Nothobranchius furzeri: one gene and its partners. The protein of the gene in region 2 binds, or shares a complex with, the protein of the main gene of each other region. Links are inferred from orthologs where the notes say so. Each region holds a gene or a part of one and is shown on either strand. Other genes may lie near its edges.

Region 1 (4,207 bases), on a different chromosome or scaffold from region 2:
CAATCCCACCGACACGTCTTCCAGTGAGGAAGCAGAGTCTGCGGACTTTGGGTTGGCCTTTCAAATCTCTGGTTCTGAGGTCACTGAGGTGGTTAAAAAGCTCCTCTGTGGCAAGGCTCCAGTGGTGGATGAGATTCGCCCAGAGTTCCTCAAGGCTCTGGATGTTGTGGGGCTGTGTTGGCTGACGCGGCTCTGCAATATCGCGTGGACATCGGGGGCAGTCCACTGGACTGGTAGACCGGGGTGGTGGTCCCCTTAGTTAAAAAGGGGGACCGCAGGGTGTGTTCCAACTACAGGGGGATCACACTCCTGAGCCTTCCTGGTAAGGTCTATTCAGGGGTTCTGGAGAGGAGGGTCCATCGGCTTGTTGAACCTCAGATTCAGGAAGAGCAATGTGGTTTTCGTCCTGGCCGTGGAACACTGGACCAGCTCTATACCCTTGGGGGATCCTGGAGGGTGCATGGGAATTTGCCCAACCAGTCTACATTAGTGGATTTAGAGAAGGCGTTTGACCGCGTCCTTCGGGGGGCCCTGTGGGGGGTACACAGGGAGTATGGGGTACCAGGCCCTCTGATATGGGCTGTTAGGTCCCTGTATGACTGGTGTCAGAGCTTGGTCCGCATTGCTGGCAGTAAGTCGGGCTCGTTCCCAGTGAGAGTTGGATTCCGTGTCACCAATTCTGTTCATAACCTTTATGGACAGGATTTCTAAGCACAGCCGAGTGTGAAACAGCTGGGATTAGAATCAGCTCCTTTAAACTGAGACCATGGTCTTGATTCGGAAAAGGATAGAATGCCTTCTCTGGGTCAGGGATGAGGTCCTGCCCCAAGTGGAGGAGTTCAAGTATCTCCGGGTCTTGTTCACGAGTGAGGGAAAACTGGAGCGTGAGATCGATAGGCGGATTGGTGCTGCATCTGCAGTGATGCAGTCGTTGTACTGGTCTGTCATGGTGAAGAGAGAGCTGAGTCAGAAGGCGGTCGATCTACGTTCCTACCCTCACCTATGGTCATGAGCTTTGGGTAGTGACCGAAAGAACGAGATCGCGGATACATGCGGCCGAAATGAGTTTTCTCTGAAGAGTGGCTGGGCTCTCCCTTAGAGATAGGGTGAGAAACTCTGTCATTCGGGAGGGGCTCGGAGTAGACCCGCTGCTCCTCCACATCGAGAGGAGCCATTTGAGGTGGCTCGGGCATCTGGTCAGGATGCCTCCTGGACGCGTCCCTGGTGAGGTTTCCGTGCACGTCCAACCGGGAGGAGTCCTAAAGGTAGACCCAGGACATGGTGGAGGGACTATATCTGTCACGTGGCCAGGGAATGCTTTGAGAGATTCCCTCCGAGGAGCTGACCCAAGTGGCTGGGGAGAGGGAAGTCTGGGCCTCTTGCCTTAGGCTACTGCCCCCGCGACCCGACTCTAAGCGGATGAAAATGGATGAATGGATGTTATGTATATTTTTGAGCAGAATTATTAGTGATTGAGCCAGATGTGCTGCAGAAGCTGGTGAAACTGACAATAATGTTGATAACATTGGCTGCATGGCGGCGCAGTGGTTAGCACTGTTGCCTCGCAGCACGAAGGTTGCAGGTTCGAAACTCGGCTCGGCTGCGGCCTTTCTTTGTGGAGTTCCGTGTTCTCCCCATGCATGTGTGGGTTTCCTCCGGGTACTCCGGTTTCTCCCACAGATCACAACATGCCCTATAGGTTATAAATTGTAAGTCGCTTTGGATAAAAGCGTCTCCTAAATGAATGAACATAAACATAAACATTTGCAGGAAAAACCTTGAATATGTTAAGATACAAGTTCTGTTAAAGATGAGGTTGACTGAGGAACATAAAACACTTGTTTTCTTTAAAAACGATTGGTCACTGAGTTTCATATGCCTGCAGAATGTGAAAACAGTCTTCTACCCCTTTTTCCTGCATTAGCTGTTGAAAGAAGATAAATGGGAAAACACTCGGGTCAGAAAAGGCCACACACATCTACATCACACTGTAAGTTAGCAATCATTGGTTCACCCATCTTGCCTTGCAACTACAGAAAGCTGTGATTCTTTAGCGTCCAGGAGACAGCAGAGCATGATTTGGCAAGCAGATGCTAACTGTTAGCATTAACAACTCCATAACAAAGCAGAACTCCTTCAGATTTGTGGAGATTACCAACAACCCAAAAAGAAGAGCAATCAAAGGCATCAGAAGAGTAGCAATGCGGTTAGCCAATCACAGACGATATGCTCACATACCATGAAATTTTAATGAGTAAATCTCCTCCCAATCTCACTCTACAAATGTCTGCTTCCTGAAACAGGAACACAAGAGTCCAAGCCCCACTCTGATTAGATAATCTCTGTTTCTCCAAACTGAGTTTGTTCATGAAGATATATTTGACTGACTACATCAGTAACACTTAGAAAGACTGCAGTTATTCCATTAAGGTTTTCCACTGATTTCATTTTATCAAATCTTATTTTAGCAAGTAAAATAAGCAGCAGAAAATATTCTCTTGCTTGAAATCAATTAAAGTCAAGTAAAATCACATCTGAGACAATCACACAAACTGAAGCTGGTGTGGATACAGATGTTTTAATGAAATTCCCAAGTTGAAGTTTTAATTTGTTTCAATATTCAACAACCAGGTGGTCACACTCGTCATCTCGAAGCTTTGACTCAACCTCTCAATCAATACCAGTTCTGATGTCTGTTCTGTATTTACCTGAGTTTTCTTCTTTAGTCTCATCACCAAGTCCATGTACTTCCAAATGAAAACTAGCAATAACAATCAGAAAACACACTCGTACCATGTTGCTGTTTTCACACCAGCCCAAAAACCAAATCAGTGTCGAGGAAATGAATCCAAAGTGCAACAAGTAGATGTTTACTCAGCTGTGTGGCCACAGTGTGTTTGTTCTTTTACATTTCTGTGTTCCTGCATGTGAAAACGACTGAATGAGAAAGAAAATTAGAAGAATGTGTGTGTGTGTGTGTGTGTGTGTGTGTGTGTGTGTGTGTGTAGATATTATCAGCTGTTTTATGTTTTTGTTGTCATATTGAGCAGCTTTTGCAACATGTGCAGACATAATTAGTTGCACAGAGGATTTTCATTGTCAAATAAAATATGCCCTCCTCATAAAACCAAAAAAAAAATAATTCTGACAAAGCAGAAGAGAATTTCACCAGCTGCATTTAATCCATCATCCGGGTAAAAACACGTTTACAGTTTTGGTCAATGAAAGTGTTGATGAAATAGCTGCACAGCTATTCCATCACATATCGATGTGGGAGAAGTTTGGGTAGCTCTGAACAAAATAAAGCTGAATTGTAACTGCACCACCAGGGGCCCTCAAAAGCACCAAGATAGCGTGAATGGAAATAAAAAAACTTTAAATTATACAAACACAATTATATCACATATGGAAAATGAATGATATATTATTTTCTATAATGTAATTATTTTTGTTCAGTTATTTCAAAGTGTTCCAAATTTTAGGAACAAAGTCCTGACTTGTTTACTATACATTCTGTGTTTTTCTTTCTTCAGATATAACTTTTAAATAGTTGAATTAATATACCACAATTAAATAACACTGAATTTAAAAATGCAAATTAATTATAGCATATGTGTTACTTTTCTAATAATGTAAGGTTAAACATCAATAGTCATTAAAGAGCCAGTATAAAATAAGCTAATAACTAAATATGCTAATGGAATTGGGTATGTTACACACAATGTGAAGCCTAGGAATTATGAATTTTCTGGTGTTGGCTGATTGATGTGGGGGTCCAAAAGAAAACCACTTAGGATCCCAAAAATGCTTGGACCGGCCCTGGCAGAACACGTTCAATCACTGAACATCTAGACTCAACTGGTCTGCATGCAAAGAAACAAGAGCTAGGTGAAAAATCTAGCACAGTACTAAACATGCATGCTTAACAGATCTTCAGAAACAACTAAACATTTGTCTGGAAGCAAAGACAAAATTATTTGATAATACAAGCTGACTCAATGTGTTCAGAGCTTTTGCTCCCAGATTAAAAGATGAAAAAAAAAACAAGTTTTTGTAAAGTGGTAAAACAATGAAATTTTAAGATCTGTGCTAATGCATCAAATGTCACCATTTGATCCGATAAATGTTTCTGTTTTCTGAGGCAAATGGGCTCAGACTGCAGGGGTGGACTGGCCTATCTGGCATTCTGGCACTGTCCCGGTGGGCT
Region 2 (3,108 bases):
ACCTCTCGCCATGTATATTTCCGCTCGCGAGTCCCGTTCACACACGCGCTGCCATGTATATTTTCGCTCGCGAGTCCCGTTCACACGCGCGCTGTGGACCCAATGCGCGTGCACGGGTTGTGGCACGCTTTAAACGCCATATAAAACCGCTACTGCCTCAGCGCAGTGTCTTGGTAAGATTGACGTGGTTGTCGTGCCTCGCTGAGGTTTATTACTAACTCTAGACCACCGACCCATCATTGTGAGTTGTATTCTCCAGTGGGACAGCCCTCTTTGTCCACCAGGAGGTTGGGACATTGGTACACCTTCATTTATACCCTTCCACTGTGTTATCGGGTGACCACGCCAGGAAAGTTGACCATTGAGCAGAATTGATGGTTTATCTCTTGAGGTCCATGCAGCAGGGGTGAGGTTGTGCTCACTCCTCACTCCTGCCAAGTGGACCTCAAGGGATAATCTCACCTTCCTGATTAAGTAAAGAATAAATAAATAATAAAAACCGTGCTGGATGGCGGACCAGGGTTCCCTACCCCTGCTTTAGAACATCGGGAATAAGCAGCAGGAACATTTTCAGCTCATAAGATTAAAGGTTTTAGATCAAAGGGTGTTTTTAATCTAACTGACATTAAAATCTAGTTTGCTTTTTAACACACTTAAATCTGTCGTCTGATTGGTTCTCCACCCAGGATGAGGTCTACAGGTTCCTTACTGCTCCTGGCCTTTCTGCTGCTGCCGCTGCTGTCTGCGGCCGTGTTCCTGGACATCTGCACCGCCAAACCCAGGGGCCTCGCTCTAGAACCACGCTGCATCTACCGCAGCCCGGAACCGGAGAACGCCGAGGAGCTGACCCTCGATCCCGAAGAGCTGCCAGAGTTCACCAACCGCAGGGTGTGGGAGCTGTCGAGGGCCAACAGCCGCTTTGCCTTGTCTTTGTACAAGCGGCTGTCCCTGAGCAGAACCGGCGAGAGCAATGTCTTCATGTCTCCCATCAGCATCACCACCGCCTTTGCCATGACCAAACTGGGAGCCTGCAACCGGACGCTGGAGCAGATCATGAAGGTTTGCGTCCAGCGCGGGCTCAAACCCAGAGGGAAGAAGCTGGGCCTGAAATGGTCCAACAAAAGCAGGAAACATGAAACAGTAGCTGTAAAATGACGTGGGTTTGTTTGGAACACGGCGCTGACAGAGTAGCTAATCCCTGTCTCGTAACCAGAAGGTTGTGGAATTGAGTCTGTCACAGTCGTTGTGCCCTTGGGCAAGACTTAACCCCCCTTGCCTGCTAGTGGTGGTCGGAGGGACCGGTGGCGCCAGCATTCAGCAGCCTCGCCTCTTGTCAGTGCACCTCAGGGCAGCTGTGGCTGCACTGTAGCTCATCCCCACCAGCGTGTGAATGGGTGTGAATGGGTGAATGACTGATTGTATGGTGAAGAGCCTTGGGGGGTTGTATAACCCTAGAAGGAGCTGTACAAATACAGGCCATTTACCATGTTTCTTGGTTGTTTAAAGCCTGAAAACCCCAAACCTGATCAGCAGCGTCCCTCTCTGCTGTGCTTGAGTTCTGCCTCCTTCTGACATGCCTTTACTTTCGCAGGTGTTTGAATTCGACACCATCAAGGAGAAAACGTCGGATCAGGTCCATTTCTTCTTCGCCAAACTGAACTGTCGTCTGTACAGGAAGAAAGACAAAACCACGGAGCTTCGCATCGCTAACCGGCTGTTCGGAGACAAGTCGTTCTTCTTCAACGAGACGTACCAGAACATCAGCGAGACGGTGTACGGAGCCACGCTGCTGCCGCTCAACTTCAAGGTGTCAAACCCAGCATCACAGTTTCCTCTCAAACATTTCAGATTTCATGCAGCTGCTTCTCCGGTAATCTGATCAAACATGAAACAACAGAAACGGGTTTAAATGTTGGAGACGGCTGAATTCATCTGCAGTGTTTAACTAATGACCTCTGACCCCGCTTTAGATGGTCTTGTTGACAGAATTTCCACTCTTTACCAGTCGGACCAGTAACTCCGGTGTTCTGCGTTAGGTGGACCCAGAACAGGCTCGGATCACCATTAATGAGTGGGTCTCTAATAAGACGGAGAACCGAATCCAGGAGACGTTGCCTTCAGGGGCCTTGGACTCCACTACCATTCTAGTTCTGGTCAACACCATCTACTTCAAGGTATCGAAGCTGAAGTTCAGTGGAGAGTTTTAGTCCAGAACCACGAGGTTCCTTATGGAAAGATTCTGAAATCAAAAGCAGGACATTGTCTGCATATAAAGATGCTCTGACCCTACTGGTGCCCCTCCCCGGTCCTCGAGGACCGGGCTGGGGCACCTCTGGACGTGGACTGATGCCCACTGGCTGAGCTTTTATTTCCCGTGTCTCAGGGTCAGTGGAAGAACACGTTTCCCAAAGAGCAGGTTCTCCCCTCGGACTTCAGAGTCAACGCCAACCGTAGCTGCCAGGTCAACATGATGTACCAGGAGATGAAGTTCCAGTACAGGTACTTCCCCGACGACCAGGTGCAGCTCCTAGAGATGCCGTACCGAGGAGACGACATCACCATGGTGATCATCCTGCCGAGCAGAAACATCCAGCTCTCCCAGGTAAAGGTCCTGGTTCCCAACGAGGAAAAGGAGTGGTGGCAAAATAAACACAAATAAAAAAACATACATTTAAAATGTATTTATGATGAACGGGACTGGAATAAACGAATAAATGATTTTGTTTGGCGGTAAGATTTCAGGATTTCAGATTCTATTAACAAAAAATGTGAGTTTGGTTCGTGTTTGACACGCAAGCAGGTGACGAGATTTAAACGTTGTACATGGTTTATCCTTTTTGTGTGGTTTTATTATTTGGAGCTGTAAAACAAACATTTTAAAATCCATAAACAGTAAAAGTAAAAAAGAAAATATAAACAAATAAAGGAAAAACGTCTGATCCCAAAGGGAAGAGCCCACGCTCACTCGTTCCCGCCCCCTCACCACTCCACCAATCTCCCTAAAATAAACCAGGATCATTACACACATCCTGGGAATGCAGCAGCTCAGGAATGTCAGCTTGTCCAGTAATCAGAAGGTTGCAGGTTCGATCCCGACTCACACCAGAG
Region 3 (4,287 bases), on a different chromosome or scaffold from region 2:
AGGTGAAAATACAAAGTACAACAACACATTTTTCAGCAGCCCAAAGTGCCACAACTCAAATGCACCAAACTTGATTTGAAATTAGGGCTAAAATAAACAGAACAACTCGTACCTTCCCCACTTCAGCATTTCCGAGGCTGATGACTTTAACCCGCAGAGACTTCTTGTTGTCACGTCTTTTCGGTGCATTTGTTTCCATTTAGACTGATTAACGCAGGGTTTTTTGCAGCAGAGCGGGCAGCTGCGACAGCAGGTGCTGTTGTTAGCGGGGCTAACAAGACTAACGTTCCGTTAGCTATCTGGCTAATAACGAGCACCACCCTGAAACCGAACGATCATCTGGTTAATTAACCACAGCACATTATTTAACATTGATACTGATCTTGTTGTTGGGGCTAAGCTGTTGTCGAAGCGCATATCAGACCCGAAGAGCTAGCTAGCATCATAGCATTCTCTTTCTTCTTCTCTTCTGTAACTCCTGTAGAATGACGCAGCGTTCCAGTAGTGCTGCCCTCCTCCGGACAACAAAACCCACTACATTTACGTTGAATGAAATCCATCAGATTTCTAGAAATTCTGGTTTTTATTATTTTCTCCGCGGTTTAGTCTTTAACTCAGTCAGTATAAATTTCAAAATGTCTTCTATTTATTTACCAATACTAACCAACTATGCTGGAGGATATTTGCAGCCCAATCCAAACATACTATGCCTATAAGAAGAATATTATATTATATAAGAATACGATGTATTTTACTCATTATAATGCTCAGCTGTATGCTAATTGTCCTAATATTTATAACATTTTTATGAGTTTACACCACAAAAGAGAATCCAGTTTCCCCTGGGTAGCTGCTGGGAATGTGACACTTTCTACTCCTCCCTCACTGATTCTCTTTTCAGATTTTTATTTTAACAAACTCAGATACACCAAAAACTAACAGCAGTGAAATAACATAGCCATTAGGTTCACTCAGCAGATGTAAGGTTTCTAGTTGAGTTAGTATTAAATTTGTGATTTTGACTCTTCTGTCTGAATGCTGCACTTTCACCTTCGTATCTGCCCGTAAATATTTGATTGGAGTCACACGGAGAACAGATCAATAACCAGCTGCAGAACTTGTTATTCAATCCTTCTTCTGTTCTGACACGATGTGGTTTACCTGCTCAGGATGAGAACGTGACCTCTGACCTGAGCTGCTGCTCCAGTTTTGACTGAAGATGAGATTCTGACTATCCCAGGTCAAAGACACAGACTGAAACTTTTTGCACACTTAAGGAATTTATCCCCAAAGATCACAGGTACAAAATCCTAGAATCTGATTCTAGACCGGTTCTGGACCAGGTTTCCCGGTTTCCTGTGAACAGAACCGGAACCCCGCTGACACATGGGACTGACCTACTGAGTCACACTTTGACCCTTTGGTAAATACTCCCCCACCCCTTCAGGGATCAGACGGCGACTCCGAGCGACAGAGTGAACACTACTGAATCACGGTTCTGGATCATGGTGGAACCATCCAAACGGGCTGCTGTTCTGCTGCTGTTGGTGCTGCACGGCTACGCTGCTCACGATGGTACCGACCTGTTATTCTGTCACCGCAGGAGAACTGGATCTGGTTCTGGGTTTTATGAGTTCTGTTTGTCAGGTCTGGAGCAGATGATCCAGTTTAACCCGTCTGAATCAGAGCTGTTAACATCAGTGGTGAAGAGGAACGAGAGGGCAGAACCTAAAATGATTTAATCCCTAATCTGACCTGAATTATGACACTAACAGAAACTGAACGTCCTGCCAGCAGCTTTGATCTTTTCTTTATTCTTCCCAGTTTTTCTCAACAGCCAGCAAGCGTTGCAGGTGCTGGTCCGAAGCAGACGAGCCAATCATTTGTTTGAGGAGATGAAACCAGGTACCTGTTTGACCTCTGACCTCTACATCATTAACCATCTGTTTACGATTCAATTATATTTTAAACAATCTGTAACAGTTTTACCCCGTGAATCGAAGCCATATCTGTCAGAGCCATCCCTCTTAAACAGGATTAGTACATTCCTCAGGCACCTGCTGGATTAAACACCATGTGTGGCTTCTGCCTTCTAGTGGACAATTTAAGTTCTCCAGATGTAAAGCGATGAATTTAATCTTTCTTGTTTTTAAAAGTAAAACCAATAAATCATTCAACAAAAAAATGTAGATTATTTCACATGTCACTGAAACAAAACTTGATTTAATACCAGATTACTGCTCAGTTTGTTTCCACGGTAACCACATATTCATGTGTTCACCTCAGGAAACCTGGAGAGGGAGTGTGTTGAAGAAATCTGCGACAACGAAGAAGCCAGAGAGGTGTTCGAGCAGGGCGATAAAACGGTGAGCCTTCCAACAGACTTGACATCAAATTAACTTTAATCTGAGATTAAATCAGATTAATCTCAGATTAAAATCTGAGATTAACTCAGAATCAAACTGTTCTTTTTCAGGCGGATTTCTGGACAACATACCTGGGTAAGCTCTGCTGGTACACTGCTTTTATTCATGGACACCTGCAGATATTTTTATTCAGTTTTATGGAAACAGATTTGTAGTCCTGGTTTCATCTTCTGATCAAAGAGATAAAACCAAACCTTCTCAAATTGTCCTCAAGTTGAAAATAATAAATCAACAAAAGTTTTTATTTCTGTGTCAGATAAATGATGCAGCTTTCCATGTAAATACTTTAGAGTTTTGGTTAGCTTTGGTTACTAGACTCAGATCAGAGAAGGTGAGTTTATTCAGCTGCTCAGCAAACAAGAACAAAGTCCAGAAGACTTCGGCACACAAACATGTCACGGCTCTTTCCACAGACTGTAAAGGAACCCAGACCAAACGAACACAAAACAGCATCCCCCTGATCAGAAAGTGCATCACAGGTAAACGTTAACCAGTCAAAGCGTTACCTGGTCATGTGATGCTAATGCTAACAGCCTGGTGTCTGCAGGCTACTGCATCTCCGGAAACGGCTTCAACTACAAAGGACAAGTCAACATCACACAATCGGGAAAGCTGTGTCAACACTGGAAACACAACTTCCCCCATCCTATCAGCAGGTAACCAGGGTCAGAGTAAACCAACCAAATTAAACCAGACTAACCAGTATAACCAATCGGAATGTAAGAAAATATCAATATGGCCAGGGGTGCACATCATATTTTTGGGTTGGTACTCAGGGGAGAACCTATGGCTGCTGCTTGGTCCTCACATTTTTAATGCACTTAATTCTTAACTCAACTCACAATAGGAACAAAACAGAGTAACGCGTTAACGATGCAACATATTTTTATTTTGTCTGAAAACAATAAGTACAACAGGTATATATTGCCAGCTTAACTTAAACCTTCTAATTTTCAAATAACATGACTGAATTGTCTGAATGTAAAACACAATGTGTAAACAGCTGCTTTTGTGATAACAAAAATCGAATAAAATAAATTTTAAAGCACTTAACAAAATTACTATTTCAGAGCACTAAAGTTTTTTAAATGGCATAAATGCCGTTTTTATTTCTACAGACTCTCATCATCCTCATCATGGTCCGGACTGCGTTCAGCTTCATTTCTGACTTCTCGAACAACTTTCTGATGTTCTCTGCTGTTAGCATGTTTATCAAACGCTGGATGATTGAAGTTTTGAGTGCCTATGTAAAAGGCGCTGTTTTTGTCTGCCAGGGTGGGATTTTCACAGCATAATCTGCATCACATCTCTGCGCGTTCATCGTTTTTTTGAAGCCAGCTGACCTCCTGCAGCCACTTCTCCGCGAATATTCTTGTCTTTTGCGGTTCTGACGCAGTCTGACGTTTTTTTTTTTTTTTGGAGGCGGAGGAACATCAAAATAATTACTTAATGGAGCTTGCTACTTGGACATCTTTAAAATGCTCCAGAAATGGCTTCCTTCCTCCAGAAAGTCTTATGGGCCATTCCCATCTGTACCGGGTCGGCCCGGGCCGGGTAGCGTAGGTTGTTTACATATCTGGGTGGCCTGGTATTTTTCCGGGCCAACCAAGGCTCATTCTCAGCCCTCTTCTTGAGAGGGTCTGCTTCAGGCCGACCAGGGCCAACACGCCCACTGCTGACAGCAAATTCACACCTTCCATTAGAGCAAGCCTCTGATTGGTGGGTAGAATCAGCCCACATGGGCTTAAGGCAAGGATGTGTGGAATCAACCGGGCCAGGCTGGGGCCGACTGGGGCTACCCGGCCCGGGCCGACCCGGTACAAATGGGAATGGCCCTTTAGGTGCGCAAATGCGTGCTGCA

Evidence for each region.
Region 1: the proteins of serpinc1 (region 2) and f9b are in contact, whole or in part, in a crystal structure (PDB 3KCG), measured with the Homo sapiens proteins. The link is inferred for Nothobranchius furzeri from reciprocal best matches to the Homo sapiens genes SERPINC1 and F9. Residues at the interface, in NP_000479.1 of Homo sapiens: Glu264, Asn265, Arg267, Glu269, Met283, Met284, Tyr285, Glu287, Met347, Val349, His351, Val420, Val421, Ile422, Ala423, Gly424, Arg425, Ser426, Leu427, Asn428, Pro429, Asn430, Arg431; in NP_000124.1 of Homo sapiens: Lys247, Val248, Asp249, Ala250, Phe251, Cys252, His267, Cys268, Glu270, Glu285, Tyr312, Arg358, Phe360, Lys362, Gly363, Arg364, Ser365, Leu367, Lys387, Phe388, Asp405, Ser406, Cys407, Gln408, Gly409, Asp410, Ile429, Ser430, Trp431, Gly432.
Region 3: the proteins of serpinc1 (region 2) and f2 are in contact, whole or in part, in a crystal structure (PDB 1TB6), measured with the Homo sapiens proteins. The link is inferred for Nothobranchius furzeri from reciprocal best matches to the Homo sapiens genes SERPINC1 and F2. Residues at the interface, in NP_000479.1 of Homo sapiens: Lys258, Glu264, Asn265, Arg267, Tyr285, Glu287, Gly288, Lys289, Glu345, Met347, His351, Ala419, Val420, Val421, Ile422, Ala423, Gly424, Arg425, Ser426, Leu427, Asn428, Pro429, Asn430, Arg431, Val432, Lys435; in NP_000497.1 of Homo sapiens: Leu389, Leu390, Cys391, His406, Cys407, Tyr410, Pro412, Trp413, Asp414, Lys415, Trp455, Arg456, Glu457, Asn458, Leu459, Asn506, Thr510, Trp511, Thr512, Ala513, Asn514, Val515, Gln519, Arg541, Ile542, Asp562, Ala563, Cys564, Glu565, Gly566.

The regions. Positions count from the first base shown.
Region 1 is NC_091750.1:56,279,898-56,284,104, forward strand, and holds the start of f9b (coagulation factor IXb), read right to left. Parts: upstream 2,869-4,207; 5' UTR 2,797-2,868; coding exon 2,709-2,796; intron 1-2,708. UniProt on the Homo sapiens protein: Factor IX is a vitamin K-dependent plasma protein that participates in the intrinsic pathway of blood coagulation by converting factor X to its active form in the presence of Ca(2+) ions, phospholipids, and factor VIIIa.
Region 2 is NC_091748.1:78,330,972-78,334,079, reverse strand, and holds part of serpinc1 (antithrombin-III), read left to right. Parts: intron 1-686; 5' UTR 687-687; coding exon 688-1,059; intron 1,060-1,591; coding exon 1,592-1,807; intron 1,808-2,036; coding exon 2,037-2,174; intron 2,175-2,383; coding exon 2,384-2,602; intron 2,603-3,108. UniProt on the Homo sapiens protein: Most important serine protease inhibitor in plasma that regulates the blood coagulation cascade. AT-III inhibits thrombin, matriptase-3/TMPRSS7, as well as factors IXa, Xa and XIa. Its inhibitory activity is greatly enhanced in the presence of heparin.
Region 3 is NC_091743.1:82,279,682-82,283,968, reverse strand, and holds the start of f2 (prothrombin), read left to right. Parts: upstream 1-1,428; 5' UTR 1,429-1,505; coding exon 1,506-1,575; intron 1,576-1,824; coding exon 1,825-1,905; intron 1,906-2,286; coding exon 2,287-2,366; intron 2,367-2,476; coding exon 2,477-2,501; intron 2,502-2,839; coding exon 2,840-2,905; intron 2,906-2,973; coding exon 2,974-3,082; intron 3,083-4,287. Other genes in the region: dnajc27 (dnaJ homolog subfamily C member 27), read right to left, coding at 113-199. UniProt on the Homo sapiens protein: Thrombin, which cleaves bonds after Arg and Lys, converts fibrinogen to fibrin and activates factors V, VII, VIII, XIII, and, in complex with thrombomodulin, protein C. Functions in blood homeostasis, inflammation and wound healing.